Elephas maximus indicus: one gene and its partners. The protein of the gene in region 1 purifies or fractionates together with the protein of each later gene. This does not show direct contact. Links are inferred from orthologs where the notes say so. Each region holds a gene or a part of one and is shown in the gene's direction. Other genes may lie near its edges.

Region 1 (7,257 bases):
TTCTCACTACCCAGCATGGTGTTTAACACATGCTTAGTAAATGTTCACGGGATGAATGTTGTTGAATAGGAACTACTGTGTTTTTGCTTGGTGGGGTAGGTGTAGGAAGCTATGCTCCCCACAATCTTCAGGTGCGGGTAGTAGTTTATAGTAAAATTAGCTGGCAGAGCTGGGGCATCATCTGAGTTATTTTCCTCCCGGCTTTTGTTTCTTCTCTGCAGGCATTGGCTGGAATTGGAGTGTGTCCCAGTACCTGATTGCAGCCAGCATCATGTGGTTACTTACTGCTCTTCATTCACCTATTGATGCCGCCCAGAAAAAAACGCAGCCAGCATTCTCGGAAAGCCCCACTGCTATTCCACCAACAACCACTGGAGGGCCCCAAACACCACTGTGGATCTCCACAGCTTCCCATCAGTCACACTAGACAGGTGCCCAGCAAGCCCATTGACCACAACACCATCACATCCTGGGTAGGCCCCTGGTATCCTTACTTTGACTTTTACTCTCTTAGGCTTCTCACAATGCCGCCTCTTCTGGTCTTGAACAAGGGCTTCCAAAAAATAAGATTTATGGTAGATAGGGACAAAGAGGCCATACACTCTCTTTGTCCATCGTCAGACATCTTCTCTGGTACATCTCCTTTTCTCGTTTCAAATTGAGACATAAGTTGGTTGGAACTGAAGATGTTCCTTTCACATTCCTCTGAAAGAGTTCAGTATAAAAGTTTCACTACCCAGTAGCTGGGTGAGAAAGCCAGATAAATGGCCAGACAAGTGAAAAATGAGATTGTTCCCTGAGCTTCTTGTGAGAAGTGGAATATTTGGCTAGGTACTCTATTTACCATTTAACAGATTGGACCTTGAAAAGAAAAATCTATAGAAATTGTATTATGTCATATTTTCATAGCTTCAGAGCCCTTGGAAGAGGGTATAGCTACTGTATGACAGGGAAAAACCCACTGCCGTTGAGTTGATTCCGACTCAATGACGGGGAAGTAGTATAGAAAAAGGGCCATATAAAGCACAAACTCTGCTTAAAAGTGCCTACTGGATATAACTTGTTTGGGATTGCTGGAAGAACCATAATACTTGCTTCAGGATCGTGGAAGAAACAAACATTAGAATCCTGTGGCTGAGAGTAGGAATGTACACTTATGAGTACTTATGATGTGCCAGGCCCTGTGCTCATTGCTGAACGTACGTGATTTCATTTCCATAATCTTGCGTTCAGCTGCAGTACTTACTGAGGGCCTTCTCTGTACCAAGCACTCTGCTAGGTGCTGGGGACCAATGGTGAACAAGACTGTTAGTCCCTGCCTTCATGAAGATTAAAGACAGATGGTTAAATACGTTGTAATTGTATGGTGTGATGAAGTGGAAGAGACATTGTCTCCTTGATTACACATGAGGAAACTGAAAGCCAAAGAGATTGATATAAATTGCCAAAAGCTCTATTATTATCTCATTAGATAGCTATTTTTGTTTCTGTGTCCCTTACTGTAGTTGGCCCCCCATTTAGGATTCTGGTCATTTGATGTAGTTTCCTGAATATAGTTACCTCTGTTTAGACTTGGTAGTTGGCTTTCCTTACCTTTTTTTTTTTTTTTTTTAATCCTTAGGTATTGCCTCAGTTTGATACAACAGCAGAAAGCTGTTTCCAAGTTTACCAGAAACGTGGTCACCAAGCCCAGGCGAGACATTCAAGTCGAAAATCTACCACTTCCAAGTTTCCACATCTAACCTTTGAGAGTCCACAGTCTTCTTCCAGCTCAGCGACATTGGGGATCCCCTTAATCAGGGAGTCTCCTGAGCAATCAGTAAAGATTTCCAGAAGGCCCTTAGTTCCAGTGCTTAGTCCCCAAAGCTGTGGGGAACCGTCAGTACATACACTTGAAAGCCCAGCTTACGTGTTCCTTCCACCTGATATCCAGACTCCAGGGTCATCTCCCGTGAAGGAAAAACCCATTCTCCCAGATCAGAAGGAAAACAGCCTTCCAAGCTGCTCCCTTCGTACGAGTACTCCTAAGAGCCCAGATCCTGGGCCTGTTCTGGTTAAAGACACTCCTCAGGAGAAGTATGGGATAAAGGTCACCTGGAGGAGACGGCAGAACCTGTTGGCTTGCCTCAGGGAGAGAGGGAGGTTGAGCAGAAGCCAGTTCCTTGTGAAAAACTGACATCAGCCTCTCTCTTTATTAAATTCAGGAAATTGACTGCTGGTTTTCATGGAGTTGCTAAAGTCACTTTTCTGGCTCACAAGAGAGTATATCAATAGAATAAGATGGAAATAAAACAAACAGGAAAAATATATTATAACTAGAGCCCTGGAGTCATAAGGGAATTCAGTTCCCTGATTTGCTTTTTAAAATATCTGGTGTCCTATACGGTCACTATGAGTCGGAATCGACTCCACAGCACTGAGTTTTTTTGGGGGGTGTCATAAACAGTTGATCTTTTTTTTTTTTTATATTAACTCTTGAAAATTAAATTTCTTGTACTAACAAAATGTATGTAAATAGTTAATAGGAAGTTTTTTTAGAGAACGCTGCATTTTACTGTCAATAGTGTAGCAATACTGCCCTGTCCATAAAAGGTCTTTCTGGTTTCCTTTAACTGCTACTCATTCATTAATCTTTTAGTCATCTTTTTCAAACAAATTACATTCTACATTTCTGAGTACCAACTCTGTCAGGCTCAGTACAGCTTCCTCTATGACCTAATAGATAGAAAAAAATCAAAGCAAATTTATTGTGACCTCTTTATGGTTGAGTTGCTGCTTCCACAGCCTTGGCTCATCTGTTGGCAGGGCAAGATGAGGACAGGACAGCAAGCCCTGTTTTAGTGAATACCGTGTGGTCAGGATAGAAAAGGGGTAGAGATAAACTAGGTTTGCTTATGTTTTGGCTTTTTGTTCCCAGGTAAATCTGTAAATATTAAATAAGATGGGGAAATGATTTCCTGTAGTAACAGTTTAAAATGTATCTAAATAAATGTGGAAGGTTTTGGGGGAATATTACTTCCTGTTGTAAATAATGCAGGACTGTCATTCAATCTTATTTATTAAGAACCTGTTTAATAAATGTGTCCGGTCCAGCCTGAGGTTGACCAAGCAGGGATTATTTCGCTTACTTTAGATGGGAATTTGAAGCACAGAGAATGAACTGTCTAGAGGATGAGACAGTGAATGGAGGCTGACCCAGTGACTTCAGTGCTCTGCAGTTCTAGCTTATGTCAAGTTCTGTGCCTCTTAAAAAATCAGCTTCTGTTTTGAAAACTAACGTGGAAACAACTTTGGCCTTGGAATGCAATAAACTAAAGTCAATGTATAGTAACTTTTGTCAGGATATTCTGTAGGGTCTGTAGAATATATAAGTTGGTGGTGAGAAAGGAACTGATGGTTGGGGACAAGATTTATTGGAAACGGGTACAGATTTAGATCCCATTTTATGGAGTATGGATGTTTGAAGATGGAAACTCTGGGAGTAGTGGTTAAGTGCTACAGCTGCTAACCGAAAGGTCGGCAGTTAGAATCTACCAGGTGCTCCTTGGAAACTACGGGGCAGTTCTACTCTGTCCTGTAGGGTTTCTATGAGTCGGAATCGACTCAACGGCGACAGGTTTGACTTTTTTTTTTTTTTTAATGGAGTATGGATGTTTGAAGCTGATTCATAGGCTGTAGAGGGAGTAGATGGAAAAGGTTCTCTGAGTCCTGTAGAGCAGGTCTAGGAATGATCTAAAAGCTTGAGCTGGAGTGGGGGAGGCTGAAGGAGGTTTTGTGCAAGACCGGGGAAACTATATGAAGGATGCATTTAAATGGGGATGACTGCTGGAGGGAGTACGTGTGTGGTTTCCCGGAAGGCCTCTGGAATTAGAAAGGGGCCGGACTGCGAGGAGCCAGCCGAGGTCTGTAAGTCTACGTTACAGACCTCTGGGAGCGCTATGGGTGGTCTCAGGGTACAAATGGCGGGGATGCTAGGAAGTAGCTAAGTGAGTGGCGGTTAGTGGGGGATGGGCGGCTCCTCAGATGGACTAGCATCCCGACCGCTGGGAACCTATGCAGCTGACACGAACACATCCTTCCGCCCTCAGCCCCTTCCCGGTGCCGCGCTCCGAGGGACCAAGCCCCCGTGCGTCATCCCTACTTCAGCGCAGGCGCCTTTAACTCCCGGGTTCTTCCCGTCCCTTAGATACCCTCCCGCATCGCCGGGCGGCGGAAATAGCCAATGAGATGGGAGCGTGGACTCAGAGTCCAATGGGCAGTGGTGATAGTGCGGGGTATGGTTGCCAGGGGGCGGGGCCCGGCTGCGGGCCAGACTTGCCACCCTAGCAGCGGCGTCTAGGGGTCTGGACGTGGTTGCACTTACTGAGCTGCGGGGGATGGAGGCGTCGCGCTACCGTCTCGGGCCCGGCGGGGATAGGTCAGACGGGAAATGGTGACTGGTCTGCTTACTTGAGAGGGATGGGGGGACGAAGTGAGAACGTGGTGGTCCTGTCTGGGAGCTCCGAGGGAGAGGGAGGTGGGCTCGGGTCAGGGAGGGAGGGCCCGATTTGGCCTCCGGAGGCGAGCCCTCTCACCCCACTGCCAGCTGGAGCTACCCGCCCCCCCACGTTTAAAGCTGAGGGTAGAGAGCAGCGGCTCTGCAGCCTTCACTGTGGGCGAGACTTTGGTTCAGCACCCTGCTTGGGCACCTTGGACTTTTCGTTACCAGCTAGCTGTCTTTGCCCTCTCGGGCCTCAGTTTTACCTTACTTCAGGTGCATCAGCTCTGCTCCTCACGGACTGCCTAATGGTGGCATAGCCGAGGTTGGATGCAGTCTTTTCCGAGGATGTCGAAGCAGAAGGTTGTGGGTGGTATTTTGTAATTTGCGCTGATGCCAGTCGCTTTTGGTAGGCGGTGCCGAATTCTGGAACTGAGAGGAAAATGCAGAACTATTCTTCTGTCTGCTTTCTAGTAGTTTATCTCTTATTCGAGTTTGTCTGTCTTATTAGCGAAGGCACTATAGCCGTCGGTGCTTTCTTTCCATGCCTCTTTCTGCCTCCACCAGAGGGAGAGCCTGGAAAGTAAAACGGTCCGAAATCTCAGCCTGTCAAATAAATCCCTGTTAGCCAAGTTAATGAAAAGTTAATGAGGAGCCGGGTGAGATCATTGACTGAAAACTTTGGCATTGTCTGAGAATTGAAATCATACAAGCTAAATACATTCCCCAGTTTTTATTCCACTACCATGGCAAATGAAAATTTGACTAGTAGATTTAGACTAGTAAATTTTTAAACAATCCTAAACCATTTTTAGAAATTGTCACGCAGGAGATGTTGGGTGAGTCAACACCCATTTTCCTTTTTCATCAAGTTCTGCTTATCTACACTCTGAAATTTGTTCACTGCACTTTTTTTTTCTCTTCAAGTGGTGAGAAAAAATAATCTACATTTACAAGTATAAATATGCGAGTGCCGAAGGGTTGAATTCAGATGGTACTTGTTCGGTTTTGACACTTGATAAATCTTAATTGAATGAATTTAAGGCAGTAAATTATGCGAATACCAGATGTTTAATATGACTCATTTTTTTTTTTTTTTTAATGGAATTGACTTTGAAATTGAGACCAGGAGGCAAAATGGTTTTTAACTTATTGGACCTGAAGCCTGAAGGGGTAATTTTAAAGTCTTCCCCCCACCCGTTTTTCTTCCCAAAGAAACCAACTCTTTAATTTTTATAATTGACATCAAAGGGAAATGTGTGAGTCACCAAATGTTTCTCCTGTTAGTGCAGCTTCTATCACTGCTTAACTCATTCGTTGCTGAGGGAGTGGAATGTCTTTTGTTTTTTTTGGCTTTAGGTTTTTTGTTTAATGTTTTTGATAAAATAAGAGTTTTTGGTATTAATACCTTTTAGTGTGGGGATAACATCTGTGATTTTTTTTTCCTCTGAATTTTGTGACTTTTTTTTTTTTTTTTTTACCATGAAGCACATTTATTTTCAATTAAGTGAGAAAGTTACCAACAAGTAAACTTCAAAAAATTTTTTTTTGGTATCTGAAATATTTAGTGAAAATTGAAGGTGAAATTTGACCAGCCATCTCAGGACCTTTGTTAAGGCTTGGTGTTTCATATTATAAATTCCCTGGCTATGAGAGGGGTTGGTTAGTGCTGGAACTTGAGCTCTATCTGCCCTTTTGCTCCAGACAGAGAATTGAAGGTGTGGTGAGAGAGATTTCCCTTGTGACCTTCCGAGCCAGTATTGTCTCAGAAAGTCATGGTCTGTGGTTTATCCGTAGGCCACGATTTCTCTTTAGAATGATCAGCAGTAGTAGTTGTCCTGTCTTGAGTTCTCTTCTTCTGAATTTTTCATCAGATCATCTCATTGTTAGCAGACTTACCCATACATGACTACAGTATATTTGGCAAATATAAAAAATTACCGTAAAGGCCAAGTAGCATCTAACATGCATGTATTTCTCCGAATATGAAGGCTACCTACAGGGCTAGAAAAATCCCTGTAACAGATTTCCTTTCTTCCAAGGTTCTTCTGTTCTAAGCTGCACAAACAGGCCGATTCATATTTTTTGAGCCTTTCTAGTTTCAGTTTCTGGCTTCTTTTCTATGGAAACTCTTTCCCCTGCCTTTGTGCCCTTTGAAAGAAAAAATTAATGTTTTTTTCTTATTGAGAGGAAAAGAATGCTTGAATTACTCAGGGGAGTTGACACTACTCTGCTTTTCGGTATTTGAGGGCTTAGGATTAGAAGGGGCTTTGGTAATTCCCTTCGTCCTCCTGCTCGAGGGCCGCCCTTCAGTGGAATTGTCAAGGCTTCTTTCAAACTGCTTTTGCTTTATATCCTCTGAGTCAGTTCCCTGGAAATAAGCTGTCTGTACTACTGAATGTATTCTGCCTCGTCAGACATCTTTACTGGTAGTAAGAACGAAAACTGCAAAATTTTCCTGGCCGAGTTAAAGTTTGAATTTATTTAAGTCTGAGAGAAGGCATAGTGATGCATGTGCTGTCTTCATTAACTCACTTGTTATTCGATATGAGCCTTGATAATGACGATGTCGTGTCTGTCCTTTTGTCTTAGAACTTCTGTGAAAATATTGATGATTAGCATTGTATCGTATGAGTCACCAGGACCTCTGAAAGACCACACTTCTGAAAGGGATTATAGTAATGTTTTTATTATTTATAAGATGGAACTTTCTGTTTTACCATGTAGCTTTATAATGAGGGGGAAAACACTGGAAGCTTTCCTCAGGCTCCTGAGTTCTA
Region 2 (7,428 bases), on another chromosome or scaffold:
GAGACCATGGAAAAGCTCAATATCATTAGTCAGAACAAGGCCAGGGGCTGACTGTGGAACAGGCTATCAATTGCTCACATGCAAGTTCAAGTTGAAACTGTCAATTCTGACTCAGAGCAACGTTATAGGACAGAGTAGAACTGTCCCATAGGGTTTCTAAGGAGCAGCTGGTGGATTTGAACTGCCTACCTTTTGGTTGGCAGCCAAGCTCTTAACCACTGTGCCACCTGGGCTCCTTACCTTTTTAGTACTGTATGTTTCTGTATTACTGTAAGTCTTCTTGAACTTAACTGAAACACAATTAACTCATTCATAGTGGTAGATGAAACTACCACTGACATTTTCTGCCCCTGGAGGTTTATTGGCAGGCATTTGAGCCACTTTAGTACATTCTGGTGTTGTGGCAGGTACTGGTGCAACTGCCTAAAAAGAAGGAAGTTGGTTTGCGCTGCATTTGAGTGTTGAGAGCCATTCGCATGAGGTGATGATTCTGGAGGAATGACTGTGCAAAACTTTTGTGTCTTTTGGCTTCTGTACAGCCAGATAAGTCTTGCAAGGATGTTTACTATTTTCTTTGTGTTTTGGGGAAGATACTACTCCAGCATTCAGAAATAGTCAAGCAAGTGAATTATTTTGGAGGTGAAAACAGTTTGTGATGCACTTCCTGGGTCGTCGTACCGATATGTACTGCATGTGTGATCTGCTTCACGGAACACATGACAAAGATGGCCTGCTTGTATTAGTCACCTCCCTGATATCTTTTATAAAGTGCTCATTTCCCTGATGACATTTTTTTATACTCTTCCTGGGCCATAGTACTGATACGTACTGCGTTTGTGATATACTTCATGGATCATGGTACTGATGTGGCCTGTTTGCAACTGGCAGCCCATTTTTTAAAATAATAAAAAATTACCAGCAAACAATGACTCAGCAACCATTTCATCAGTGAAAAAACAGGCATCACACACACACACAAAATTACCCTTTAAAGGATTAAACTTTGGTAACAATTTGATTCTTTTGGGTCTTTTTTAAAAGCTTTGCTAGGCAAGACCAGAGGCAAGATTAGTCTACAACTAATTTTTCCCTAATATTGAATAAAGCCTTTCTGCATACTCTACTCAACGCCCCATGAATTGTGAGGTTTTATACTCTGGCTGGTCTCTGGGTGGTGCAAATTGTTAATGTGCTCAGCTGCTAAGCAAAAGTTTGGAGGTTCGAGTCCACCCAGAGACACCTCGGAAGAAAGGCCTGGTGATCTACTTCTGAAAAATCAGTCATTGAAAATCCCGTGGAGCACAGTTCTACTACATGGGGTAGCCATGAGTCAGAGCTGACTTGACAACAACTGATATACTCTAGCTGGTGGGAACAGGAACTGTTCTCAGTCTTGTGTGAACTCTGAGAATTGCTGCCTTGACTAGTTTCCTTACAAGCATGTCCTGATCAGTACTCAGGGAAGACTTTAAGGGGCACCCTCTGCAGATCTCTGGTGCTTTCTCTTTGTGAAACTCTCTCCTCTCCAGTACTCTGCCATGCAAACTCCAGCCACCTTGGCCTCAGTGGACTTCCAACTTTATTTCCTCTACTTGTGACGACTTGTTGGGGCCCACCATTGTCCCCTTGGAGTATATCATTGTCCTTATGTTTCCCTCCTCCAATCTCATCTCCAACAAATATTTTTCACATTGCTGCCAGAATAATCTTTTTGAAGATCACAGCACTCTTCTTGAAAACCCAGCAGTGGTTTTCCAAAGCCTAAAGAATGAAACTCATGCCCCTAAGTGTGGTATGGAATAACAGTTATGGTCTTGATCTTTTTTTAGGTTACAGATCCACTTGAGAATTTGGTGGAAACGCTCCCAGTAAAACACGTTGTTGTTGCAACACGATGGACATAATTATTGTCACTGAACTGTACATGCGAAGACTGTTGAAATGGCAAGTGCTTTGTTACACATATATTTACAATAAACACAACAGCAAAAAAAATGTTGTAGTTGTTGTTAGCTGCCATTGAGTTGGCTCTGACTTATGGTCACCTTATGTATAACGGAATGAAACATTGCACAGTCCTGCACCATCTTCCTGATCATGATCGTTGGTATGTTTGACTCTACTATTGCAGTTACTACATCACTCAATCACATTGAGAGTTTTCCTTATTTTTGCCGACCCTCTGTAGGGTTGCTATGAGTCAGAATCGACTCGGAGGTGGTGGGTTTGGTTTGGTTTTTGGTTTTCTACTTTACCAAACTGGTTTACTTTACCAAACACACACATATGCAAATACACAATGCTTTACATTCAATTGTGGGCCAGTGGCCCTGGATTCCTCAAATGCGGGACTGGGTGAATGGGCTGAATATGAATACAGGCAGAGTTTGGCACTCAATTAGCTAAAAAGCCAAGAAAGTCTATGAATTTTTAAACTAGAGTTTTGATAAGTAACTGTCTGCTATGTTGTCGCTGCTGTTAGGTGCTGTAGAGTTGGTTCCAACTCATAGTGACCCTTTGCACAACAGAATGAAACACTGCCTGGTACTGTCTGCTATAGGTAAGCACAATGACTCAATTTAAATTTTTGGAGGACCTATTATTTTGACTCTACATTTTTGCTTAAGGCTAAAATAAATAAATAATCTAAGCTTTTGCAGGCTGCTAATTTCTTCAAGAATTACCATTCAGGTCTCACCATCAGGAAGCCTAAAACCAAAAGACCAAAAGCCAAATCCATTGCTGTTGAGTGGATTCTGACTCATAGTGACCCTATAGGACAGAGTAGAACTGCTCCACAGGGTTTCCAAGGAGCAGCTGGTAGATTCGAACTGACAACTTTTTGATTAGCAGCCAAGCTCTTAACCATTGCACTGCCAGGGCTCCTTTCAGGAAGCTTAGTTGCCTAATATCTGTAAATAAACTGACTTCATTTAACTTGTGATATTCATCCTTACCCTATCACTCTTATATTAACTTCTTTTTCCTAGCCAAATCCAATAGTTTTTCAAAGTGTACATCTACTTCGAATCTCTTGAATAGCTTCTCCCTGGCTTGCAGGACTTCATACTCTCCTAATTTTAATTTTTCCGGCATAATTTTCTTTCTCTACATATGGATTTCTCCCTGAACCTTAATGGTCCCATTCCTTCTGCTTTAAATATTACCATGTAAGTGGACAATTTCTGAATTTTACTCCTCTAACATTCCTCCCCTTCACCCAATCACGTAGTAAAGACATCTCCATTTTAATGTGCAGATTTCACACCTAAATTTAGACATCTAAAGATACATAAAATATACCCTGCAGCAGAGAAATGTCCTCAGCTTTAGTATTCCCTGAATGGCCGCAGAATCATTAAAGTAAAAATTTAAAAATTAACCTAACTGAAAACCCCAGTGCATGGGAACAGCATCCTACATAAGAATCTGGGAATATCCATCATTGTTGTTGTTGTTAGGTGCCGTTAGGTCGGTTCTGACTCATAGTGACTCATACAATAGGACAAAACACTGCTGGGTCCTCTACCATCCTCACAATTGTTGCCATGTTTGAGCCCATTGTTGCAGACACTGTGTCAATCCATTTTGTGAACGGTCTTCCTCTTTTTCACTAACTCTCTACTTTATGAAGCACGATGTCCTTCTCCAAGGACTGATCCCTCCTAATAACATGTCCCAAGTAGGTGAGACAAAGTCTTGTCAGCCTCACTTCTAAGGGGCATTCTGGCTGTACTTCTTCCAAGACAGATTTGTTCGTTCTTCTGCCAGTCCATGGTATTCCTTGCCAACACCATACTTCAAACACATCAGTTCTCTGGTCTTCCTTATTCACTGTAGAACTTTCACACGCATATGAGGCCACTGAAAACATGATGGATTGGGTCAGGTGCACCTTAGTCCTCAAGGTGACATGTTTGCTTTTTAACAGCTCGAAGAAGTCTTTTGCAGAAGATTTGCCCAGTGCAATATGTCATTTAATGTCTTGACTGCTGCTTCCATGAGCGCTGACTGTGGATCCAAGTAAAATGAAATCCTTGACAACTTCAATCCTTGTCCGTTATCATGACGTCGCATTCATCATTAGTTATTTTAAGTTAGTCATTTAATTTTCTCTAAGTAAATCATGGTCCTTCCTGATTTTGAAAAAAGACGGATTGTTTCACTATTTCGGCAAAAGATGTACTTTCATACTCTAAATAGTGAAGCACAAATACTACAGCTGGTATAATAGTATTGGTGGGCCAAAATCTACCGGGGCGCCTTTTCGGAGCTCAGAGCCCGCCTCCGGTGGGGGCGAGTCTCTGAGGCTCATCCAATCAGAGCTCAGTCAGGAAGTAGACGTCCTAGCGCCCCGCTGACATCACGTGATTCTAGCCCACACCTCCCACCCGCCTTTGCGAAGAGTCAAGCGCTCATCCCTGCGCGGTATCCTGCTTCGCGAGGCGCCTCCCATCAGACAGCGCTCGTTGATTGGTCGCTGGTCGTGCGGTCTCCTGGGTGACACGAACGCGGTAGCCTTCTTGGAGGAGACGGAGTGCGCTTGCGCACACGCTGCATCGCGCGGCTGCTAGAGCTTTGAGATGAAGGTAAATAACTTAAAAACCCCGGGAGGGCGGGGGCAGGAATAACGCGACCACTGGCCCTTCTCTAAGCCGGCCAAGCATCAATTTGAGGAGAGGGCTGTGTGTCTTCCTCTGTCTTCCCAACTGCGTGACTAGAGATGGGGGAGGGCGGGGACGAAGTTAAAGGAACAAGAGGAAAAGAAAGAAAACACAGGGGCGGAGAGGGAGGCCTCATTTCTGGGACCGCGAATGGGTGGTGTGGGAAGAGGGAACTCCGCCACGGCCGGAAATGGACAGACTGGATCTCAAGAGACCTCGAACTTCGCAAGGCGGAAAGATCTGGTCGTGAATGCGTTTGGAGGGTCTCGGTGAAGTAGACTCGATCGGGTGTCACTCCCACGTGTCACTAGCTGCCTCATTTCTTGCAGCTAAACCTTGCAAGCCGCACAATTGCTCAACGCCTCAGTTACACCACCTAAAAAAAGTGAGAAACCTCTAAAGAATAATTTCAAATTGTATTGTCTGTGATAGTCCAATTTACAGATCCTCTGGTGGCGAGTGTACATTATTCACGGAGACATCTGCACCTTCACACGCAGTTCTCACGTTCATGTGTGTCGTCCTCTGCACACACGGTTTCTAGGCTTGGGCTTCTAGTGAACCCCACTCCCAGGTCACTGGCTATAGCTCATTTACCCTTCCACTTTACCTCAGCAACACCACCCTGCCTTGATCTGGCCGAGGAATGGAAAGCTCACATTTAAAAAAATTGTTCTATACATCCTAATGCTTCTGCGTGGCTGTTAGTATGGAAATTGAGATTGACGGACTGATAAACATAACTCACATTTTTAAAATCACTTTGCAAGTTATGAGGTACTTTAAGTGAGATATTATTATTGCAGTTTTATAATTGGGGATTCTGTAGCAGGAAGAGTTAAAACTTAAATCTTAGTTTTTCTGGTTGTAATGCTAGCACTTTCTCCTCTGCACTGTATATGGAGCATCTATATAGCTCCGCTGAAGAAAAATTATATGTAAGTTCGCAGCCAGAGGCAGGTCTGCTGTGAAAGTAGAGAAGGTCAAGTTTCAGGGCAATGTGGTCATATGTTTTTGTAAAATTTGCAAAAGTGAGATGTTTTCGTATTCTTCTTCAAGAGTGTCTTAAAAAAAAAAAAAAAACAAACCTGGGCGTACCTGTGATTGTAACACAGGTAAGAAACCCTGGTGGTGCAGTGGTTAAGTGCTGGGCTGCTAACTGAAAGGTTGCAGTTGGAACCCATCGGCCACTCTAGGGGAGAAAGATGTGACAGTCTGCTTCCATAAAGATTTGCAGCCTTGGAAAATATATGGGGCAGTTTTACTGTGTCCTGTAGGGTCATTATGAGTAATCCACTCTACGGCAGTGGGTTTAGTTTTGGATAGCTCGTGTATATTTTCAACAGAGATGGATTTCATCTTTGGCATATAAAATGTTCATTGATCAGTGTCTGAGTATTGGAAGAGTTTTGTGTTGCAACTCAAACTGTTAAGTCTCCTGTAGTCCTATCTAAATTTCATATTCCTATGATATAGGCTATTCATAAGGTTTTCACTGGCTAAAGCTTTTCAGAAGCAGACTGCAGGGTCCTTCTTCCTAGCCTGTCTTAGTCTGGAAGCTCAGCTGAAACCTGTCCTCCATGGGTGACTGACCCTGTTGGTATCTGAATACTGGTGGCATAGCTTCCAGCATCACAGCAACACACAAGCCCCCACAGTATGACAAACTGACAGATACGTGGGGACAATGAATAAGGAAGATCAAAGAAGAGTTGACGCCTTCGAATTGTGGTGTTGGCGAAGAATATTGAATATACCATGGACTGCCAAAAGAACGAACAAACCTGTCTTGGAAGAAGTGCGGCCAGAATGCTCCTTAGAGGCAAGGATGGCGAGACTGCATCTTACATACTTTGGACATGTTGTCAGGAGGGATCTGTCCCTGGAGAAGGACATCATGCTTGGCAGAGTACAGGGTCAGCGGAAAAGAGGAAGACCCTCAACAAGGTGGATTGACACAGTGGCTGCAACAATGAGCTCAAGGCTAACAATGATTGTAAGGATGGTGCAGGACTGGGCAGTGTTTCATTCTGTTGCGCATAAGGTTGCTATGAGTCAGAACCAACTCGACGGCCCCTAACAACAACAACATGATATAGGCATCATACCTTTAATAATATTAAATCTAAATTTTCTCACTGAGCTCTGTGTTCCTGTTTAACATAAATATAATGAAAGCCAATGTAATTAAAAATTTTAGTAGCCATGTTAAAAAACTTCAGACAGGTAAAATTAATTTTAATATTTAATTTAACCCAATATACCAAAAATATTATCATTTCAACATGTCATGAATATAAATATTATCAGTGAGGTAGTTTACATTATTTTTGTCATGTCTTTGAAATCCGATATGTATTTTATACATACAGTGTATCAAAATTTGGACTACCCACATTTCAATCAGGTGCTCAATAGCTACATGTGGCTTGTGGCTACCATATTGGATACCACAGTTCTAGATGGTCTAGTGAGGAGAAAAGAATGGTTTTTCAACTGATACCCTGTTGGCCCAATAGCCAGATTAAACACTTAATCTTTAACCAATGGGTAAAAGGAGAAACAATTTTCAAGGAAGTATCCAGTTCCAGTGGAGCTGATTCCAACTCATGGTGACCCCATGTGTTGCAGAGTAGAACTGTCCTCCATAGGCTTTTTATGACTATGACCTTTTAAGCAGATCACCAGGCCTTTCTTCCCAGGCACCTCTGGGTAGGTTCAAAGCACCAACCTCTCAGTTAATATCCAAGTGCTTAACAATTTA
Region 3 (7,277 bases), on another chromosome or scaffold:
GCGCCCCGGCGCCGGGCCCGGTCCCGCAGCCACGTACCCGGCGGGCACGCAGCTCATGGCCTCGGCGCCGCGGGGCCGCCTGCGCGCACGGCTCGCTCCCCCGCACCGCCCGGGCCGGACCGCCGCTCAGCTCCTCCGGCCTCGTCACCACCCCCTCCCCGCCCCTGGAAACCGGCGTGGGGCTCCCGGGGCCCGCGCACCTGCCCCGCACGCGGGCTCCTGAAGGTGGCCTCGGAGCAGGGGCTAGGGGCCTTGATGGACCCCGGAGGCGGAGGGGCGCGGGGTGGCCGGCCCGCGGAGGGGACTCCTTGGTGGCCTGCGGCTGCCCGTCCGCTTTCTGATTTGAAAACAGACATGCAGAGGGACCATGAGCTTGGGGTTTCTGGGAATCTTGCATCCCAGGGTGTGGGGTTTTTGCTGCTGCTGGGGGTTTACGGATTTAAAAAAATGCTTTTGCAACAAAGGAGCCTGTTGCATCTAACAGATTGGAGGCAGCCGTCAAAGTGACGGCCCCAGGTGATTTCCAGGTCCAGGGGCAGGAATAAGCAGAAGAAAATTGTTGTCAAAACTCTTGGTAACCATAAATAAAATTCCTGCATTAACTATGTTACCCGCAGCGTGTAAAATGCCAACAACAATAAGATGCAATGATGGTAAAAATGTTTGCAACCCAGAAGGCAGGTCTGATCAAAGTTGAACTAAGAGAATCAGGGACAGGTCAATATTTTGTGGCCAGAAATATCCAATACTGTGTATGAAAGCTATATATTGGATTTTTTTAACAGATTTAGATCCTATGCCCCAACTGTTTGATACCATGCACAACACAACTGTTTGAGGAGGGCAACAGTCCATTAAAGGAAAACAAGAGCTAGGTACTAACACCAACAATGAAATACAGTAAGAGGACAACGACTTCCTATACAAAAGTCTGGAAATGGGTAAATAAGTAAGATCGTAAGAGTACCACTAGTCTGCCATATTCTGCCACCAAATGATCAGCAGCAGTTTTTATCTATTCGAACTGACTTTACAGATCGCTTGTAAAAAAATAATAGCTCTGTCAAAGAACAGATCAACACAAGACAAACACCCAAACTTAAAAGACTTCATTGAGTAGGACTTCTCCTTAGTACTTTCAATTTATCCCTTTCTACTTAAGAAACCTGAAAATATCCCAAAAGGCCTTTCCATGGGTTATTGATTGGGGAACCCTACTTCCGAGGGACCTATGATGCCAGAGCTACCCACAACCAGCCTAGGACCCGAGCAAAACATCCCTCAGACTCAACAGAATAACTTGTGCATTTGTCTGATAGAACGGTGGAAAACACTAAAACCCTATCCAGAATTAAAAGAATATTGGCATAGTTCAGATTTTTCCCCTAAAGGCAGAGAAAAACACAGGAACTGAATCCTTTTACTGAAAACCTTCCTGACTTCACAGAGGTGAACTCCATCTCGACCCCCATCAAAGCTTGACACCATGTGTCACGTTTCGGGATGGGAAAAGTAAAATTTGCTATTGGGTAGATTTCTGTCCACGCACAAAGAACGCTGCCGATGCAACACTGTGAGCGGAGGAGGGTTCCCCCAAACTGCCCAAAGCCTTCTGCGTGCACACGGTTGGACGGCTTAGGGGCTCCATAGGACCCGGCCAGACGGCTCTACGAGGTCACCGGCCGCTCAGCCCGCAGCACCTGCCGACTGGGACCCGGGCCCGCCATGACAGTCCCTAGGGAGGCCGGCCCTCCCGAGACCCCGGTCACCTTTTTCATCAACGCCTCGCGGCAGCCTGGCTTCCCGATTTCCTGGGGACCTCCTGCCCGCGGCCCAGGAGGCGCCCGCAGAATCGGCCCGGCCGGGCAGCCCGGCCCTGAGCTCCGGCTGAAGCAAGGCCGCGACGCAACGCTGCTCCTCCCTCCCCAGACGCGGTGGCCGCGCGTCGTTCGCTGGACTCGTCTCCTCAGCGGACCGGCGAACGACAGACGGGGCAGCGAGCGCAGGCGCGCCTGCCCCTCAGCGTCCCGGGGGCTCGGCCCGCCGCTCTCACAGCAGTTCCGGCTACGGCAGCCGACAGGGACCACCGCACGGCTCGTAGACGCGGGGGCCGGGGCGGGGGCCGGGGCGGGGGCCGGGGCGGGGCCGGAGTGGGGGGCGGGGCGGGGCGGGGCCGGGGCGGGGCTGGCGCTAGCGCCTGCGCGCGGGGCGGAGCGACTCGCGCGGAGGCGAGCACGCCTGGGCATTCCAGCTAGCGCGACCCCCGAGCGGCCCTCCCATTGGCCAGCAGCAGACGCGCGCGCTTGCACTCACGGGAATTGGGCGGGGCGGCAGGGCGGACTTGGGACGCGCGTAACATTGTGCCGACGTCCCCGCGGCGGTGCGGGGCTGAGGCGTCTCTCCGGACTGGTGAAGCGACAGCCAATGGGGTCAGTTAACGGGCTGTGATTGGTCGAGGCAGTGTTGACGGATGCGTGAGAGAAAACACAGCCTGAACTCCGAGTCTTGAATCCGGCGCGAACGTGGCTTTTGACCAAAAGATGTAAATTTACATTTAAGCGAGATAAACACACCCTTTATTGGATGGAGGTACTCCTTTGGAGCTTCTTTGGCGTAGCTGGCTATGTTAGGCGCTTAAATCATTTTTCTCCGTAATGGCGACAAAGGAGTGTTTTTAAAATGCTAATGTGGTGTTGTTAGGTGCCCTCCAGTCGGTTCCAACTCATAGCAACCCTGTGTACAACAGAACGAAACACTACCCGGTCCTGGGCCATCCTCACAATCGTTGTTATGCTGGAGCCCATCGTTGCAGCCACTGTGTCAATCCATCTTTTTGAGGGTCTTCCTCTTTTCCGCTGACCCTCTACCAAGCTTGATGTCCTTCTTCAGGAACTGATCCCTCCCGATAACATGTCCAAAGTTTGTGAGAGAAGTTTCGACAAGTCTCACCATCCTTGCTTCTAATAAGCATTCTGGCTGCACTCCTTCCAAGCAAAACGAAGTTTTAAAAAATAGAATTTCCTTGTGTGTCCAACTTAGCAGTAGCTACATTTTCATCTTTTACTTTTGCTCATGTTTCACAATGTGGATCTTTTTGCTATTGTGACTGTATTCTCTTTTTAATGATGCTGACCGCTTTCAAACAGTTAAAGATGTATTGGTTTGTTTTTCAGAGTCAGTTTAGCCACATCTGACCGTTCAGACCAGGCCACATGTTGCTAACGTCTGTGGGCACACAGCCCGTGGCGACGAATAAAGATGGTCTCTGATGGGATAAACCCGTGTCTTTGGCCACCATTTCTTGCCAAATGAATCCATATGGGACCCAAAACATTTATATATGTAAGAAATGACCTGAAAACCTCAAGAAACTCTATGGAACCAGCTGGCTTTTCTCAGAAATACTCTTGAACCACACTCTCCATTTTAAGACAAGACAAAGAAAGCAGAGCCAAACAAATGGCCTGGGATCAGGAACCATCCTGCATTAAGATTAACTGGAAATTAAAACATCTTAAAGAACAGTGGCGTTCTAGGAAGCAGTGAGTTTCTGTTTCTGGTGATGGAAAATTCGGCAACAGATATTGGTGATGGCTGAACAGTATGATTAGTGTAATTCATGTCACTAAATTGTACACGTGAAAAGTGTCAAATAGGCAAATGTTGTATGTATATTTGTTGTTGTGTGCATTGAGTTGATTATGACCATAGTGACCCTATAAGACAGAGTAGAACTGCCCGGCCACACCTAGGAGATGTGTTACAGCTTCCCTTTTCTCTTAGTACAGCATATCCTGGCGCCTTGGCAGAGGTGAATTATCCAATAGGCAAGGCAAGCACGGTGCTGACTTTGCTTACCAAATCATATGTAGTGAGCAATTTCTTTGATGTGGTGAGACCTATGTGAAATTGTTCACCTCAGATTAGTAGGTAAGCACAAGTAAACCCATGCTTACCTTGTTTACTGGGTCGTCTGCCTCTGTCAGGGATTGTGAACTTGAAAAGAGGCTTTGATTCTGTAGGAGGGTGCTGTGGGGTTGGGAGAGAGACAGGTGCCAGTCCTACCTAGAAGCAGAACGTTTAATGTGGTGAAAAAATGTGAAATTATTCACTACAGATGATCTGGTAAGCAAAGTAAAAACCGTGATTAAGTTGCCTATTGGATAATCTGCTTCTGCGCCTTGGCTTCGTGTCTTTATGGTTGAGAGGGTTCAAACCCAAAAAAACACGTTGCGGTCGAGTGGATTCTGACTCATCGCTACCCAACAGGACAGAGTAGAACTGCCCCATAGGGTTTACAAGGAGCAGCTGGTGGATTCAAACTGCAGTCTTTTGGTTAGAGGACACATCGCACCACAAAACCTCCGACTTGCAGTCCGCAGGCGGGTCAATCCCAGCCCTCCGAGCTGCACGAACATTCCCGATCGTCTTCGGCTCTTTCCGGCCCCCTCGGCTCTCCTCACTCATCTTCGGCTATTTCCGCCTTCCGCGCGCAGCCGTTGTCCCGGCAACGGGCGGCGGCGCTGTGGCCCGGGCTGAGGTGAGCTCGTTCCCTCCCCGGGTTTGGGGCTGGGGTCGTGGTCACGGGCCGCGGCTCCGGGGACAGGGTCACGGGAATTCGTGGGCCGATGTGGGGGTCGGATTGAGGACTCCGGGGATCGTGGCGGATATGTGGGTCGGGTTGAGGACTGGAGAGGGCCAGAGTCGGGGACTCGGGAGGCTGGGGCGCAGGGAGGCGGAACCGGGGTGGGCCGGCCAGGCACCCCGGCCTAGCGTCACCTCGAGTTATTTCCCTCCCCAAAAACACCCTCTCTCAAGGTCTCTGAGGGGGTAGTCGGGGCGGAGGAGGCCACCAAGGGTGGGCTAACCAAAAACAAACTCCTCGCGGTCGAGTCCATTCCAACTCATAGCGATCCTACAGGACAGAATGGCACTGCCCCATAGAGTTTCCAGGGGGCCCCTGGTGTATTCAAACTGCTGACCTTTTGGTTAGCAGCGGTAGCGCTTAAACACTAGCCACCAGGATTTCCAGGCTGGGCTAGGGGCCTTTAAACCCGGGCCGCCTTATTTTCTCCAACCTCTCTTTTCTTTGCATTGCTGTTTCGAGGCACAAAGTGGATTCGATTTACTTGTTCTGCCTTTTCAATCACGGGCCGGGTTAGGTGTGGGTGGCAGCCCAGGGGAGGATCCCTGGTGGGTAACGGTTAAGCGCTTCGCTGCTAACCAGAAGGCTGGTGGTTCCAACCCTCAAGCGGTTCCTGAGGAGAAAGACGTGGCAGTCTGTTTCCACAAAGATTACAGCCTTGGAAACCCGAAGGGTGAGTTCTACTCTCCTTATAGGGTCACTATGAGACCGGGCAGTGTTTTGTTCTGTTGTGCATAGGGTCCCTATGAGTTGGAATCAACTGGATGGCACCTACCAACAACACCATGAGTCTGAATTGACTCCTTGGCAAAGGATTTTTTTTTTTTATTATAAGGAACCCTAGTAGTACAATGGTTAAGCACTCAGCTGCTACCCGAAAAGTCAGCTTTTTGAACCCAACCACTCTTTGGGAGAAGGATGTGGTAGCCTGCTTCCCTAAAGATTCACAGCCTTGGAAACCCTGTGGGACAGTTCTTCTCTGTCCTATGTGGTTGCTATGAGTCTGAATAGACGCAGCGGCAACAGGTTTGGTTTTTGTTCTGGCAGCCCAGGGTGCCTAGTGGGAGAACCCTGGTATAGGCCATGGGCTCTCTTCTCGCCTCTCCATGCTAGGGCTACTGCCTTGTCAAAGGACAGTATCAGTAACTCTGTAGGACAATCACGAGCATCGCAAGAGAGCTACGCAGGACTTGGTATGCTGGCTGTTGTTACCTCCAGGCACAATCCCAGGTCTCTGACTGCTGTCTGAATTGATGTCCACCCCTGCGGTATGCACTGGGGTGGGGTTGGGGGCAGCACCCTCAGATTTGATACTTAACCCAGTGCACCTGAAAGAGAATAAGAATGGCATTGTGGGCCATTTGTCCAAAATCCTGTGACATAAAATGATACCTATGACCCAGTGGATCGAGTGGTGTCGCCTAGATGCAGCTAAATGACCCTGCACTGACCATAGGCTCACAAGCTGTGGCCTCAAGCATGAGGCTTTACCCCAGTGCCCACCCCCACACTCAGCTCCCTGTTACCTAAAAGTCCCCCTTTAGGGCTTCATTCCTTTCGGTTCTGTTACAAAATGTCTCCAAGGAGTGGTGTTGTTGGGTGCTACTGAGTCGATTCTGACTCATAGCGACCCCGTGTGACAGAATAGAACTGCCCCATAGGGTTTCCTAGGCAGTAATCCTTTTTTTTTAATAATTTTTTTTTGTGCTTTAAGTGAAAGTTTGCAACTCAAGTCAGTTTTTTTTAAGTGAAAGTTTACAAATCAAGTCAGTCTCTCACACAAAAACCCATATACACCTTGCTACACACTCCCAATTACTCTCGCCCTAATGAGACAGCCCGCTCCCTCCCTCCACTCTCTCTTTTCCTGTCCATTTCACCAGCCTCTAACCCCCTCCACCCTGTCATCTCCCCTCCACACAGGAGATGCCAACATAGCCTCAAGTGTCCACCTGATCCAAGAAGCTCACTCCTCACCAGCATCCCTCCCCAACCCATTGTCCGGTCCAATCCATGTCTGAAGAGTTGGCTTTGGGAATGGTTCCTGTCCTGGGGCAACAGAAGGTCTGGGGACCATGAGCACGGGGGTCCTTCCAGTCTCAGTCAGACCATTAAGTCTGGTCTTATGGGAATACCTAGGCAGTAATCTTTATGGGAGCAGATCACCATGTCTTTTCTTCCAGCGGAGCTGCTGGGTGAGTTCAAACCACTGATGTTTTGGTTAGTATCTGAGCACTTAACCATTGCGCAACCAGGGATCCTAGAAGGCCTTATCTGAATAAACTTGAGGGATTCTTTCCAAAAATCTTACTAGTGGTGGCATTTATAGAGGTTGTGAATATGTTGGAGACATGGAGGTGAGAAAGGAAATCAGTTAGAATAAACGATAAAAAGATTTTTCTTTTCCCCAAAGCCCAGACATTTGCCCGGCGTTTTTATGTTGTAGAGACCCAGAGTTTGTTTCAAGGAAAAGACGTGCACATATTTTCTGAATTGAAACTCCATGGATATATTATCATTGAGTATTTTATTAAGAAGCTCTGGTGGCGCAGTGGTTAAGTGCTCAGCCACTAACAACAAGATGTGGTTGGAATCCACACAGCCACTCCTAGGGAGAAAAAAATCTGCTCCC
Region 4 (7,653 bases), on another chromosome or scaffold:
GTTGCGATATTGAAGGATTCTACTGCGAAAATATTAAATGACATAGGAAGCATCAAAAGAAGATGAAAACACATATAGAGACACTATACCAAAAAGAACCGGTAGATGTCCAACCATTTCCGGAGGTAGCATATGATCAAGAACAAATGGTACTTGTCATGGATTGAATTATATCCCCCCAAAAATGTGTGTATCAATTTGGCTGTGCCATGATTCTCAATATTGGGTGATTGTCCTCCATTTTGTGATTGTAATTTTATGTTAAAGAGGATTAGGGTGGAATTGTAACACCCTTACTAAGGTCACATCCCTGATCCAATATAAAGGGAGCTTCCCTAGGGTCTGGCCTGCCACCTTTTATCTCCCGAGAGATAAAAGGAAACAAAAGCAAGCAGAGAGTTGAGGCCTCATACCCCAAGAAAGCAACACCTGGAGCAGAGCGCAGCCTTTGTACCTGAGGTTCCTGCGCTGAGATGCTCCCAGACCAAGGGAAGATTGATGACAAGGATCTTCCTCCAGAGCCGACAGAGAGAGAAAGCCTTCCCCTGGAGCTGATGCCCTAAATTTGGACTTGTAGCCTACTAGAATGTGAGAGAATAAATTTCTCTTTGTTAAAGCCATCCACTTGTGGTATTTCTGTTACAGCAGCACTAGATGACTAAGACAGTACTGAAGGGAGAAGTCTCAGCTACACTGAAGCATTGGCGAAAAACAAGGCTCCAGAAATTGACAGAATACCAACTGAGATGTTTCAACAAACGGATGCGAGACCTGAGGTGCTCACTCATCTAAGCCAAGAAATTTGGAAGACAGCTACCTAGCCAATCAATGAATCCATATTTGTATTCATTCCAAAGAAAGGGGATCCAACAGAATGCAAAAATTATCGAACAATATCATTAATATCACACCCAAGTAAAATTTTGCTGAAGATCGTTCAAAAGCGATTGCAGCATTACATCGGCAGGGAACTCCCAAAAATTCAAGCCAGATTCAGAAGATGACATGGAACAAGGGATATCATTGCTGAAGTCAGAAGAATCTTGGCTGAAAGCAGAGAATACCAGAAAGATGTTTACCTGTGTTTTATTAACTATGCCAAAGCATTTGATCATGTGTTAAAAAAAAAAAAAATTTTTTTTTTTTTTTAACATAACACATTATGGATAACATTGTGAAGACTGGGAATCCCAGAACACTTAATTGCTCTCATGAGGCAGATCAAGAGGCAGTCGTTTGAACAGAAAAAGGGAATACTGCACGGTTTAAAGTCAAGAAAGATGTGTCAGGGTTGTATCCTTTCACCATACTTATTCAATCTGTTTGCTGAGCAAATAATCTGAGAAGCTGGACTATACGAAGAAGAACGCAGCATCAGGATTGGAGGAAGACTCGTTAACAACCTGCAATATGCAGATCACACAACCTTGTTTGCTGAAAGTGAAGAGGACTTGAAATACTTCCTGATGAAGATCAAAGACTACAGCCTTTAGTATAGATTACGCCTCAAGGAAAAGAAAAAACAATCCTCACAATTGGACCAATAAGCAACATCATGATACATGGATAAAAGACTGAAGTTGTCAAGTATTTCGTTTTACTTGGATCCACAATCAACGCCCATGGAAGCAGCAGTCGAGAAATCAAATAACACATTGCAATGGCCAAACCTGCTGCAAAAGACTCCTTTAAAGTGTTGAAAAACAAAGATGTCACCTTGAAGACTAAGGTGTGCCTGACCCAAACCATGGTGTTTTCATTTGCTTCATGTGCATGTGAAAGCTGGAAAACGAATAAGGAAGACAGAAGAAGAATTGAAGCCTTTGAATTTGGTGTTGGCATAGAATATTGAATACACCATGGACTGCCAGAAGAATGAACAAATCTGTCTTGGAAGAACTACAGCCAGAATGGTCCTTAGAAGTAAGGACGGCAAGACTTCATCTCACATACTTTGGACATGTTATCAGGAGGGACCAGTCCCTGGAGAAGGATGTCACACTTGGTAGATGGTCAGCAAAAAAGAGGAAGACCCTCAACAAGATGCATTGACACAGTGGCTGCAACAATGGGCTCAAGCATAACAATGATTGGGAGGATGGTGCAGGACTGGGCACTATTTTGTTCTGTTGTATGTAGGGTCACTGTGAGTTGGAACCAACTCGATGGCACCTAATAACAACAACAAACATTTAAATAATTCATTCTTTCTATTTCAAAATACTAGACTCTTTATAAGTGCATTTTTCTGTGTCCCCTTCCTACTTTTGCATAAATGAAATGTCAAGATCTAGCCAAGAAAACCAAGAAAAATAACTCTCTTGGTGCGTCTCGTCACGTTATTTGAGTAAAAACATTATTACATCTGATAGTTCAGGTGTGCAGAAAGTAAACTGACTGATGTCATAAATTCTGGGCCATCAGATATCTGAATGGCTGGGCTATTTTTTAAAGAAAAACAAAGTATCATATGGCAGTCCAAAGGAAGTCATTGTAATTGAGTTTAGAGTTTAAAGAACTCAGAGAAGTGAGCTCCTTAAGCCAACATCTACAGATCTTTTTTTCCAGATGAACTTTTCACTGGAACCAAAATCGTGCAATTCAAGATTATACACTTTGATGAGCACCTTGAACTGTTGTAATTTTCTGCTGCATAGTGAGTGCAGATTAATCCACGTTTTGAAAATCAGACCAGCAGCTATTACTGGTTGTCTACCACCACAAACTTTAGCTTGACTGTGAATGTTGGAAGGAGCCCTGGTGATACATTGGTTAAGCGCTCAACTGCTAACCAAAAGGTTGGCAGTAGGAACCCACTTGCAGAAGACAGACTTCCGTAAAGATTACAGCTACAAAAATCCTATGGGGCAGTTCTACTGTCACGTGTGGTCACTTGCCATCAGTAGAAAAGCCACTGGACAGCACCTAACAACAACAGTATGAATGTTGGAAACAGAGTAACAGTTTTCATGAAAATAATATGTGCCTCTTTGGGTTGCATTGAAACCCTGGTGGCATAGTGGTTAAGAGCTACGGCTGCTAACCAAAAGGTTGGCAGTTCGAATCTACCAGGTGCTCCTTGGAAACTCTATGTGGCAGTTCTACTCTGTCCTATAGGGTCGCTATGAGTCAGAATGGACTCGATGGCAGTAGGTTTTGGTTTGGGTTGAATGCACTTTAAAAGGAAGTTGGTGAAAAAATATTGCTTTGCCTTGGAGCCTGGGTTATAGCCACACTGCTCCTTAAGACTGTCATTGATTCCGACTCATGGCAACCCCATGTATACCAGAGTAGAACTGTGCTCCACAGGGTATATAACCTAAGCCTGTAAAAACATGTTGCTGTTTAGTTGATTCTGACTCATGACAATCCATGTGTTGCAGAGTAGAACTGCTCCATGTTTTTTTCTTGGCTCTGATGTAGTGGTTAAGAGTTCGGCTGCTAACCAAAACGTCACAGTTGGAATCCACACCAGGCGATCCTTGGAAACCCTACGGGGCAGTTCTGCCCTGTCCTACAGGGTCGCGATTAGCCCGAATTCACTCCACTGCAATGAGCTTGGTTTGGCTTTTGGTTGATCTTTACAGCAGCAGACCACCAGACCTTTCCTCCATGGCACCATTGGGTAGGTTCAAACCACCAACTTTTAGGTTAGCAGTCCAGCATAAACTGTTTGCGCCACCCAGGGACCTTGCACATAACCTACCAGCATAAAAAAAGTTAATGTTTATTGAGTCCTGAAGAAACTTAAAATCTGGTCAAAATAACTTAGGATCTTGTCAACTAAAGTGTGATAAATTAACACTAGGATCAGAATTTGGAATTCATGTAAAGGATTCTACAAAGACCACTTAAATCTCAAATCTCCACTGTTTTTGAAATCTCCTTAAGCAGAAATAGGAAATCTCTAGTCCATCATCCCAGTTTAATTATCTGAACAACTGAACATATCTTTGTGCAACTGACAGCTGCCTGATGGGTTCAAACATGAACGTTTGCATAGGGATTAGTTTTATTCTCAGCTTAAAATCAATAGTACAAAAATACACAAAGACCCACTAAGACTCTGTTTACCTCATTTGTCCCCTTCATTATCACGACTGGTAAAAATGAACTAATTTAATATGCATTTTAACAACAAACAGGATTGCAAAAATGCCGGCAAAGATGGGCCCAAGAAGCTCAACCCATTTCTGTTAAGAACTTGTGATATTTCTGCGCCACCTTGTGGCCACAACGCAACGATTACACGTGAAAGTTAAAGCATTTTCTATGCGCTGGTCAAGCCTTCAGATAACCGCATTGCGGGAATCTGCCTCAACACAAATGAACAGAAAATGGTGTCTTTCTTTCTAGTCCGTGATGGGGAACAGATCTGCCCTTTTCCCACTTCCTCCTTCACTTCCTTTATTCCTTAGCCTTGTGCCCGCCCACCCACTCTCCCCCAGGGCTATTCCTCGTCGGATGTCCTCTCCCACTCCCCCCATCCCTTAGCACCCCTCCCTCAGCCCCTGCCCTCCCCAGGTCACCCCCGCAGCCCGCCCTCCGGATCCCCCTTCCCAGGTCGCCCCTCCTCGGCGCCTCCCGCAATCCCTGCAGCAAGGGCCCGCCCCCTCCCGCTGGCGGCCAATGGCAGCGCGTCCCTCCCCGCCCCTGGCGCCGCGTCCGGGAGGGCGAGGCGGATTTGGGCCTCGGCGCGGCGTCCTGCGGCTCCGGCTCTTCCTCTGGGCAGCGGGGGACCCACGCCCACGGGCCCTGCGCGCCAGTGTCGGGGAGCCATGGACTCGCTGGGGCTGAAGGTGAGGCGGCGGGCGGCCACTGGCGGCCTGGACTTGGTCTGTTTGGGGGAGTGGCGCTGCGATGGGGGCGTGGAGAGAGCGCGGTGAGGTCCGCGAGGCGGTCGTTAGTCTGGCGGGATTTCGGTGCCCTGAGTCCGGGTGCCACCCGCTGGCGTGGGCCTGCAGCCCACGTTACCTTGTCTGCTCTCCAGGGCCCTTCTGCGGACTAGAGGTCCCGGCAGCTCACTCGGGGCGCTGCCTTTTAAAGGCCGTTGGTGAGCTGGTCCTCCAGTTGGTTGTGTTTACTTTGACTTCTGTGTCGTGTTTGCGGAAAGCCCGATTACCACATGCCACTCACTGCACCTCGGGCTGCGATTTCTAAGGACTTAAAGCAAACTAACGTTCTCTTCCCATTCCATAGGGAAAGGAACACGGAAAGCATATGTGAAAACAAAGACATGAGGCTTGAAAAGGGAGGAGTCTTTATTCTAGTGTGATAGTTTTTTTTCATATTATCAGTGATACATCCATTCAGCAAATTCTTAATAAGGGCCCACTTAATAACTGAGCATATGGAAACAGACACGAGACTGGAAAACATAAGCGGTTTCTTTAGGATGATGGTCTCGTTTGTTCACTGATTTCACCCATTCAGCAAATATTTACCGAGGACTCTGTCCACTACGACCTGGAGATCCAGTGATGAGCAGAACCTCACAGCTTCTGCCTTCACAGAGTTTGTAGCCTCATGCCTGTGAAAAGCCTCAGGTAAATAATATTTGACAGTAATGTTAACAAGTTTGTTGTTACAGAGTGAGTATTAAAAAGACTTTTTTTTTTTTTAAAGAAACCTAGAGTCTACTAACGGGAACTTCTTGTCCTTTTTTTTTAAACCCTTTTTTTTGTTTATTTTCCTGTTTTCTAAAATTGTTAAGAAAAGGTGGGCAAAGAGGTGAAAAGTGGCTCGATTTAAGGAAACTTAAAAGAATCACATGAGCTTTATTCAGGATTTTAGATTAATCTGCTTCTAAAAGTGTATCAGGCCACCAGAATCTTTTTTTTTTTTTTAATTTTTAGTCCTTATTTCCTTTTAGGCTTTGATTAATTACTATTGTCAAGAGAGATATTTCCATCATGTGCTAATGGTTGCCAGTGAAGGAATTAAGAGATACGGCAGTGACCCAGTCTTCAGGTTTTATCATGCCTATGGTACATTAATGGAAGGTGTGTGGTAATTATTAAGCATGCTCCAAAAATTTTAATTTCTGGCTTTGCACTATGAACTGTTTTTCACATCATAATCTTTTTGATTTTCAGGTAAAATTCAAGAAGCTCTTCGAGAATTTGAGGCTATTAAAAATAAACAAGATGTATCACTTTGCTCTCTAATTGCACTGATATATGCCCATAAAATGAGTCCTAATCCAGGTATAGTATTTAAGTACAACACTTAGGCAGCTTGCCCTACTCAGTTCATTTTGATTTTTTTTCAATTATTTTAACATTCAGTCTGATCGTGCTGTATTATATGTTGTCTAGGAACTTGGTAGGTTCATCAAACACAGGGAATACCTGTCTTTAAACTACTTTCATATTCCTTATGTCCTGTGGCACAGGTTTTATTAGTGCATAGGGATTATGTGAGTTAACCTAAAGATGAATATGTATTAGCAATTGTTATGCAAAAAAGGCCAGCTGAAAAATAGATGTACACAGAAATCACTCTGTAGGAGCCAACTTTATCACTTACTATGTGGAAACATTTCTGTGTACAGGTTATCTCTTTTACTATATTTTAAGCTTCTTGAAAGTCTTTACATCCCCCATGTGAATTAGCTCTTGGAAGGTACTCTCCAGATTTTTGTCCAGTAATTGGCTGAGAAATATGACCAGGTTATGGAAGGAATGTTATACATAAGCAAGCAATTAATTAAGGTTGCATGACTGTCTTAGTTTATTGGCTGAGGCAGAATATCCAAATTATAGATAAAAGAGTAGAGTTATATTCTCCCATATATATTTATTAATAGCTAGTAGGATTGTAAATATAGAACCTGTTTCAAATGACTAAGATTATAACCAATTGTTATAGAATGGTTTAGGAAAATTTAGAAACTATTTTTTTCCTAAGCAGAGTATTACATATCTCCTTCACCCCACATACATATGTATAAACCCATAAAAAATTATATAAGACAGTATGTTTAGCAAGTAAACAAATATGACAATTAGTGCAGTGGCAGGTGTAGTTGAAAGATACAAAAAAATTATAAGAAGTAATCCATTACCTCAGGCTTATAATCTAGTTGAGCAAAATATAAAAACCTAAAAGATTAAATTTCAGTGTTACTATTAAATCATAAGAAGTGAAACAAATGAATCCATAATTAGTTGGAAATGGTATGTAGTATTAATCCATAGGAGTAAGCTGGGAAGCCTTTGTGAAAAATGGGGACGTAATCTGATCTTTGAAGGACAGATAGGATTTGAATATGAAGAGTATTTGCTAGACAAGAGAAAATAACCTGGGTAGACACATGGAAGTGGTTCAGGATTAGGCTGTTTAGGATTAGATCCCCTTTCACTGTGCTTTACCGGAGCGTGTGTTTAGCTGGAGCAGAGAATTTGTAGTTGAGAGCGATACTAAGTCTAGAAAAAGAAATTAGTACAAAATATTTCCTTCTTGGTATGTTCATTTAATTATTAAGACTTATGTATTGGTTCTGTTGGGTAAAGTGGTTTCTAAGCCCCTAAAAAGACGGAGGCAGAAATATTGGCTAGAGACACCTGAGCACTGACTCTGCTTTCCACTGTAGATGATCCTGAATGGGTTTGAGCTCCAGGAAGGTCCCACATGTCTGTAAATACTGCTTAG

The links.
Region 2: the proteins of TULP3 (region 1) and WDR19 purify together in Homo sapiens (affinity purification with mass spectrometry; 5 studies listed by BioGRID and IntAct, counting the BioPlex papers as one, with this or other methods). This does not show direct contact. The link is inferred for Elephas maximus indicus from reciprocal best matches to the Homo sapiens genes TULP3 and WDR19.
Region 3: the proteins of TULP3 (region 1) and IFT140 purify together in Homo sapiens (affinity purification with mass spectrometry; 5 studies listed by BioGRID and IntAct, counting the BioPlex papers as one, with this or other methods). This does not show direct contact. The link is inferred for Elephas maximus indicus from reciprocal best matches to the Homo sapiens genes TULP3 and IFT140.
Region 4: the proteins of TULP3 (region 1) and TTC21B purify together in Homo sapiens (affinity purification with mass spectrometry; 5 studies listed by BioGRID and IntAct, counting the BioPlex papers as one, with this or other methods). This does not show direct contact. The link is inferred for Elephas maximus indicus from reciprocal best matches to the Homo sapiens genes TULP3 and TTC21B.

Annotation. Positions count from the first base shown.
Region 1 is NC_064822.1:59,077,434-59,084,690, forward strand, and holds the start of TULP3 (tubby-related protein 3), read left to right. Parts: upstream 1-4,239; 5' UTR 4,240-4,376; coding exon 4,377-4,432; intron 4,433-7,257. Other genes in the region: RHNO1 (RAD9, HUS1, RAD1-interacting nuclear orphan protein 1), read left to right, coding at 306-473, 1,622-2,176. UniProt on the Homo sapiens protein: Negative regulator of the Shh signaling transduction pathway: recruited to primary cilia via association with the IFT complex A (IFT-A) and is required for recruitment of G protein-coupled receptor GPR161 to cilia, a promoter of PKA-dependent basal repression machinery in Shh signaling.
Region 2 is NC_064823.1:121,674,545-121,681,972, reverse strand, and holds the start of WDR19 (WD repeat-containing protein 19), read left to right. Parts: upstream 1-4,416; 5' UTR 4,417-4,583; coding exon 4,584-4,589; intron 4,590-7,428. UniProt on the Homo sapiens protein: As component of the IFT complex A (IFT-A), a complex required for retrograde ciliary transport and entry into cilia of G protein-coupled receptors (GPCRs), it is involved in cilia function and/or assembly.
Region 3 is NC_064830.1:58,722,130-58,729,406, reverse strand, and holds the start of IFT140 (intraflagellar transport protein 140 homolog), read left to right. Parts: upstream 1-4,259; 5' UTR 4,260-4,540; intron 4,541-7,277. Other genes in the region: CRAMP1 (protein cramped-like), read right to left, coding at 201-337, 1,770-1,778. UniProt on the Homo sapiens protein: Component of the IFT complex A (IFT-A), a complex required for retrograde ciliary transport and entry into cilia of G protein-coupled receptors (GPCRs).
Region 4 is NC_064824.1:64,019,464-64,027,116, reverse strand, and holds the start of TTC21B (tetratricopeptide repeat protein 21B), read left to right. Parts: upstream 1-4,645; 5' UTR 4,646-4,778; coding exon 4,779-4,799; intron 4,800-5,872; coding exon 5,873-6,002; intron 6,003-6,095; coding exon 6,096-6,206; intron 6,207-7,653. UniProt on the Homo sapiens protein: Component of the IFT complex A (IFT-A), a complex required for retrograde ciliary transport and entry into cilia of G protein-coupled receptors (GPCRs). Essential for retrograde trafficking of IFT-1, IFT-B and GPCRs.